Linked DNA regions of Cricetulus griseus. The main gene of each other region encodes a partner of the protein of the gene in region 2 in a complex. Links are inferred from orthologs where the notes say so. Each region holds a gene or a part of one and is shown on either strand. Other genes may lie near its edges.

What was found. Proteins that work in one complex are often made in the same cells at the same time.
Region 1: the proteins of Ywhab (region 2) and Mlxipl are in contact, whole or in part, in a crystal structure (PDB 6YGJ), measured with the Homo sapiens proteins. The link is inferred for Cricetulus griseus from reciprocal best matches to the Homo sapiens genes YWHAB and MLXIPL. Residues at the interface, in NP_003395.1 of Homo sapiens: Gly55, Arg58, Ser59, Trp61, Arg62, Ser65, Ser66, Gln69, Lys70, Arg129, Val178, Tyr181, Glu182, Asn185, Leu218, Gln221, Leu222, Asp225, Asn226, Leu229, Trp230; in NP_116569.1 of Homo sapiens: Asp118, Ile120, Arg121, Asn124, Ala125, Trp127, Arg128, Ala129, Trp130, Tyr131, Ile132, Tyr134.

Annotation. Positions count from the first base shown.
Region 1 is NC_048597.1:114,201,754-114,205,405, reverse strand, and holds part of Mlxipl (carbohydrate-responsive element-binding protein), read right to left. Parts: intron 1,798-3,652; coding exon 1,631-1,797; intron 1-1,630. UniProt on the Homo sapiens protein: Binds DNA as a heterodimer with MLX/TCFL4 and activates transcription. Binds to the canonical E box sequence 5'-CACGTG-3'. Plays a role in transcriptional activation of glycolytic target genes. Involved in glucose-responsive gene regulation.
Region 2 is NC_048599.1:15,507,997-15,511,648, forward strand, and holds part of Ywhab (14-3-3 protein beta/alpha), read right to left. Parts: intron 2,886-3,652; 5' UTR 2,884-2,885; coding exon 2,584-2,883; intron 489-2,583; coding exon 365-488; intron 1-364. UniProt on the Homo sapiens protein: Adapter protein implicated in the regulation of a large spectrum of both general and specialized signaling pathways. Binds to a large number of partners, usually by recognition of a phosphoserine or phosphothreonine motif.

The DNA.
Region 1 (3,652 bases), on a different chromosome or scaffold from region 2:
GATGGGGGGGCACACCGTGGATGTAAGTTCATTGATTGGGGTGGGGGGCACACTGTGGATGTAAGTTCATTGTTTGGGGTGGGGGGCACACTGTGGATGTAAGTTCATTGATTGGGGTGGGGAGCACACCGTGGATGTAAGTTCATTGTTTGGGGTGGGGGGCACACCGTGGATGTAAGTTCATTGATTGGGGTGGGGGGCACACCGTGGATGTAAGTTCATTGTTTGGGGTGGGGGGCACACCGTGGATGTAAGTTCATTGATTGGGGTGGGGGGCACACTGTGGATGTAAGTTCATTGTTTGGGGTGGGGGGCACACTGTGGATGTAAGTTCATTGATTGGGGTGGGGAGCACACCGTGGACGAAGTTGATCATTTGGGAGTTCAGATGAATACATGGCACGTGGTGGTTGAAGTCATCTAGTGAAGGCACCCTTCCTCCCCAGCACCCGTCTCTCTGTCTTTACTTCCTAGCTTCTCTGCTGTTTCACCTCCTCCCCCATGATAGACTCAAGCCTCTGAATCCATGAGCAAAATACCTCTTTCCCTGAGGTTGTTTTCCTAGGTGTAGCAGTGATGAGAGACTAACTACCACTCTAGCCCACAGGTAGTCAGCCATTTACCAACAGATCCAACCGTCTAAACTCTTTATTCTCCCATCAACCCATCCACACCCCATCTATACATTCACCACCCACTGATGTAACAAATCATTCATCCATTCACAAAGCCATGTAGCGCCAGCCCATGGTTCATTCAATCAATCTACTAAACTACTTACGTGGGAATCCACCCATCAGCCCAGCTACTCACCAGACCCTTTTACTTTACATCCACTAATCCTCATATGCAGACACCACTGGCTATAATGGTCTCTCCATTTACTGTGTTCTCATTCACTCACTCACCAGGCAACCATTTATTGAATGACACTCTGTGTGTGGAAACCACTAGGTACAAGGAATGTAGTGGTGGCCAAAACAGCCCCACCAAGCCCATCGGAGGAAAGAGACCTCTCACAATAAACTACAAAAGCATGTGAAAAGTTCCATGATAGGAGAAAAGGACACTGGGGTGGTTAGTATTAACTGTCAACAACCTAGGACCACCTGGGAAGAGTCTCAGCGAGGAGCCACCAACATTGGGTTGGCCTGTGGGCATGTCTATTGGGGATTCCATGATATGGAAAGACCCAGCCCACTGTGGGTGGCACCATTCCCTAGGCAGGGGATCCTGAACTGTGTCAGAGAAAAGAAATGGAGCTGAACATGAGTAAGCAGGCGAGCATGCCGGCAATTGTTCTTCTCTGCTCTTGACTGTAGATGTGGTGTGACTGAAGTTCCCGCCTTGACTTCCCCACACTGGTGGACTGTATGTAACCTGGGGCTGTTAGCTGAAAGAAACCCCTTTTCTCTTTCTAACTTGCTTTTCCTCAATGTATTTTAGCATAACAACAGAAATGAAACTGGAACAGGACCCTAACAGTTGCAGGGTAATGACTTCTGAACCAGGTACAGGTGTTCTAGAAATAAGATGCCAACTTAGTTGCCTAAACACACACTCCCATCCTCCTTCCATGCACACATTCCTGTCCCATCTAGGCAGGCTTCTCATAACAGGATACACTCACCTGTAGGCGGGTAGTCCCTGGGGAGGAGGAAGAGGAGGCTGGAGATGGCATCTCTGGGCCCAGGATCCCACTGCTGAAGAGGGAGTCAGCCATGGGGCCAAAGCTGGGTGGCTCCAGGAAGTTCGAAGATGTGGGCATCTGCGGGGGGCGGTAGTTGGTGAAGAAATCTGTAATTGGAACACACAGGGTAGCAAATGACATTAAGGACTCAAGATAGGCCTTTTGATATGGTGGTCCCCGAGCTGGGCAGAAGTGGGACAGGGACCAGTGGAGGTGGAAAGCTTCCATGAGATTGAAATGGTTTCTGTCCCACTGGGGGAAGCTGCACTAGAGACTGGGAAGAAGGTCCTGGGAGAGATGGTGGGGTCTGGGAGTGAGTGAGCAGGGACCCCAGGAAGCTGCCCACCCATGGCACCCCACTCTTGACTCATTTTCCCTCCCTGCGTCTGCTCCTTTTTTTTTTTTTTAATTTTTTAGCACTGTTGGCATTCTAGAAAGAAGGGGTCACAGAGAGGTTCTGGGAAGGAAAAAGGTGGGGTCCAGGGGAGTTGCCTGAGTGCGTCAGGGATGAATCAAGGGTGAGCAGGTTCATGAGGTCAGTGGGTCAGGCATGGGTTAGACTTGCTGAAAGATCAGTAAGTTGACACTGTGAGATTGGAGCCTAGGCTGACATTTGGGGGACACAGAGTGGGCTCAGGGTTGCTGTGTGAGCAATAGGGAGCCAGGAAATCTGTGAAGCTTACAGAAGAGGCGGGCAAGGCAGCCAGATTGTTTAGGGGTGTGGGTTGTGTAAGTTCTGGGCTATTCTGGTTTTGGGAAGCAGGCTGCTCATGGCCTAACCACATCCCGGGCTGAGGCGACACCCGCCTACCCTCTCCCTTCCGGGCACCTTTCTCTGACCCTGACCAGCACAAATTCTATGCCCAAGGCCTCCTGAGACACAGCAGTCCCCACCATGGTAGCTCCCCCACAGGGTTTGGTGGGCTGCGGCCCCCCAATTCCCCTCCAGAATCCCAATCCAGGAGAGCTTGTCAGACCTTCTGAGTGAGTTAGGGAAAGTCATAGAGTCAGGGTATGCATGTCTGTCTGTCTATGTGGTATGTATATTTGTGTGAATATGTCTATATTGTATGTGTATTTGCATATATACCCATGTTGAGAGTACATAGGGGAGTATAACATGTATATGCAAGTCTGAGAGCATGTGTGTGTGTGTATGAAAGTGTGCATGTATGCTGTGTACATGTGTGTATGCAAGTATGTATACATGTAGGCCTCTACATATGTAAGCATGTATCTGGCATATGTATGTATGTTGCCTGGTGTACATGTGTGTATACTTATATGTTTGTCCATGTGTATGAGCATGGTAGTTCTGTATATATGCATATGTGTGCATGTGTGTACATGTGTGTACATAAGCACCTATGTATGAGGTGATGTGTGGGTATGAATATGTGTACGAGCACGCATATGTGTTGTGCATGGTGTGTGTGTATATGTGTGCGTGTTTATCTTAGGTGATTCTACCTGGGCAGAAAGACCAAACAGGTTCTGAGTATCAATATACAGTGACACGAAGCACCTGCCTACCTCTCTGGATGTCTGTCCCTAGTGTGTGACCGATGATGACACACCTGCCATGTCCACATCTCTTCCAGTATCAGAAGTAGTTTTACGCTGTCCTGGGCCCCTACTTTGTACAAAGGGACCTGGGGAGGGACCAGAAAATGGTCACCAGAATCCCACCCCTGTCCTCCAAGGACCATGGCCTGGTCAGCAGGCCACATAAAGCCCCAAATTAAAGCATAGTCCTGTGCCAAACCCATCATGCCAAAGCAGCCTGCTACCCCTTGAGTTGTTCGCACCTGTTCCCAGTAGTCTCCAGAGTCTCCCATCAAGCCCCAGCTCTTCCCTGGCCTGGTCCCAAACTAACCAGCCACACTCTCTGTCCCTACACCTGCCCTTCCCCAGCCCCTTCAACAGGGTTTCCAGAACAAGGACGGAATGGAAACCCTGGTG
Region 2 (3,652 bases):
GAGACAGGGTTTTTCTGTGGCTTTGGAGGCTGACCTGGAACTAGCTCTCGTAGACCAGGCCGGTCTCGAACTCACAGAGATCCACCTACCTCTGCCTCCCCAGTGCTGGGATTAAAGGTGTGTGCCACCACTGCCCAGCTCTCTCTCTCTTTTTTAAAGATTTTATATTATGCATACAACATTCTGCTTCCATATACATATCTGCACACCAAAAGAGGGCACCAGATCTCATAACAGATGGTTGTGAGCCACCATGTGGTTGCTGGGAATTGAACTCAGGACCTCTAGAAGAGCAGCCACTGCTCTTAACCTCTGAGCCAGCTCTCCAGCCCCCCTCCTACTATTTCTTAAAAACATTACTTACTTTGTTTATTGTCTCCAGATGCAACCTCAGAAAGATACCTAAAATAGTCTCCTTTCATTTTCAAGTAGAACACCTTGCTTTCTGGCTGTGTAGCATTGGGAATGAGATATTTGTCCAACAGCTCCTAAAAAGTGATTCACATTAAGAATTTTGAATTGTTTCTGAGATGTTAAAATTACATTTGCGATTCAAGATATGCACTACTACTACTACTGATTTTTCTGAAGACTAAAAACAACAACAAAAAAACCCCCTAAACCAACAAACAGAAAAACCTAACCAACTTTCATCCAAGCTACTAAATACCGTTTAGCCAAGTCCTAAGAGCAGAAGCCTGTACCCTTCACTTACAAGTCCTCTGACCACCGTAAGGGCTGGCTATAATGCAGCTACTACAATGGGATGCGATATAAAAAGGATGGCACAGAACTGCATTGCTCACACAAATCTAGCTGGAAAAGACTATCAACAAAAGAATCTCACTTTAGTATTAAAATAAGCATGGGTACATGCACACAAAAATGTGGGGAAGCCTTGGAGGATTCTAGGAACAATGCTTCTCTGGATAATAGCATTAGAAGTGACTTTTAGTTCTTAACTCTTCTGTCCATCTTGTAGAAACAAACAAACTCCCCCCCCCCCCATTTAAACTTTTATTACTTCTGTAATTTTGAGTGTGTGTGTGTCTTTCTATTCTGGGAAGGGAAAAAAAAAGCAGCAATAGAACAAAACAGCAAGAACTCAGTTTAAAATTGATCTGACCTGGGAAGAAAACCTTCTTCTGATGCTTACTGTTTGTTTCCACATGACCTGGAGAGGAGGCTGAGGACCCCAAGCCTCAGATTCCTTGGTTGTACAGCGGGGAGGGGCAAGGGGACCAGCATGGCCACCTTCTAAGGTAGTTATAAGGACAAGCGAGGTAACATCTAGTGCTTAACACGTTGCTTGGCACGTAGTAAGCACTCAGAGAGTCTAGTACTATTATTAATAACAAATTCCTTTAAACATTTATGCTTACAACAAAAGTAGTTCTGAAGGAGTCCAAGCTTCGTATACAGAGCAATATTTTCGAAGAGTTGTTTTAGAATGTGGCATCCTGAAAAACTGGTTAAGAGGCAGTAAGTACCATGCTCTTCTTCATACTCTTTCAGATGCTCTTAAAAGCTGGTCTACAATTCAGGAATTATGGAACTCTCTTGCCTTTGGAATGCAAGCCATACTTCATCTGAATACCAGATGTACCTAACATTCAGGAATTAGTGCACCATTAACAAACCCCCAAACAATCGACAGGCAAAAAGTTTAGCCATGAAACTTTTATCTTACACTAAGAATCTAATAAAGAGAAAGGCTCAAAGCACAGCTCAGCTACCAAGGATTTCATTAATCAATGTCAAAGTATGCAAGAGGTAGTAGCTGTTTTAAAGTACTGTGCAGAAGGGCGTAACCCCGTGGGTTAAGGGTGAAGAATGCGCATGACAGCTGACAAGCTTTATATTGGTTTTCAAAAGAAGATGTCAAGGGAGGTAATCTGGGAAGACAGAGAGTAGGGCAGGAAGGAAATCAACAAGTGTTAATCCCTTTCCCTTTAAAGCAGCCCTCATAGTTAAGTTTTACCTGATTTCACATAGGAAATAAAATTCCCAGTGTGCTCCAGATATGAGCGAAAGAATATAATCATTAAGTGTTTTAGGACTGGCAACCCTCCCACCCAAGCCCACATGTAGTTAGAAGGAACTACACCTGACTATAGTATACATAACACACGGGAAAAGCCCCATACCACCTTTGGTTTGGCTTTGGACTGTACATTGCAGTTGACAGAATGTGCCAAACCTTCAACATCAGATTGCTACACTTTGTGAGGGCAGGACCAAGGAGAGGCTGAAAGGCCTTTCCATCTCTTCCTTTCCAGAGACGATTCACTCCCTAGAGCAACCCACTCGTGACTGCATCTTTCTAACTAACCTCTCCATCTGGCCTCATTTCTAAAGAAAAATGGAGGAATGTTGATGAAATGTTATGTTTGTTGCAAGCCTTTTTGAGAGGAGAAGGAAAACATCCCAGAAATGATCAACTGATCAGAAAGGATGATAAAAATTATATCATATTCTTTAGATCAAGTTACAAATGGCTTTCACTCTTTCCTAAGTTGTTTGAGTTTGTATCTGGACCATGATGCCTAGGATGAGTGTGAAAAGCACAAGTGCAGCCCTCACCAGTACGTCATTGCAGATGTCCTGCAGCTCAGCCTCTATCTTCTCACGGTACTCTTTGCCCATCTGTTGCTTCTTCTCATTCCTCTCTGTTTTCTGTTCGATGCTGGAGATAACACGCCAGGAAGAACGGCGGGCACCTACCACATTCTTGTAGGCAACAGAGAGTAGATTTCTCTCTTCATTGGAGAGTTCATGTCCCTGTTCTGTTACAGCCTTCATAGCTGCAGCCATATCATCGTAGCGCTCAGCTTGCTCAGCAAGTTTGGCTTTCTGTACCAGCTCACTTTTGTCCATGGTCATTCCTAGAACAGCAGCAAGAGCACAGAGAAAGCAATGTCAGGCTACCAGCATACTCAGAAGCACAGCCCCCAATGCCATCAAGAATGTGGATCATGTACTGAATATCTACAGTCAGGACTGGGCTGAGGCCTTTGTTACCAACAATCCTACATGGAATATTCCCAATAACCCTTCCACCTTCTTAGAAAACATAAATATTGGGGCTGGAGAGATGGCTCAGCGGTTAAGAGCACTGACTGCTCTTCCAGAGGTCCTGAGTTCAATTCCCAGCAACCACATGGTGGCTCACAACCATCTGTTATGAGATCTGGTGCCCTCTTCTGGTGTGCAGATATATATATGGAAGCAGAATGTTGTATGCATAATAAATAAATAAAAAAAATCTTAAAAAAAACACATAAATATTAAGAGAGAAAATAATGGACCCAGAATACCACCGCAAATAAGAGTTAAGGCTTTCAGCTTGCCTGTCTCTTCTTTCTATAACTTGCTTGTTCCATTATCCTACCATCCTCCCCGATACACAGAAACTGCTGAGAAACTACTTGCTTTTAGACATTTCCATGTTCATGCACATGGAAGAGTGCACACATGGACACGTATGAAGAAGAGAGGGCAATTGTTGGAGCTGGTTCTCTCTCTGCACCATATGGGTTTCAGGGATTGAACTCAAGTTTGGCAACAATCTCCCTTTCCTGCTAAGCCATCTTGACAGTACCCTCAACAACTTTTTTTTTTTTTTTTAAGTTTAAACTACATACATGTTAAC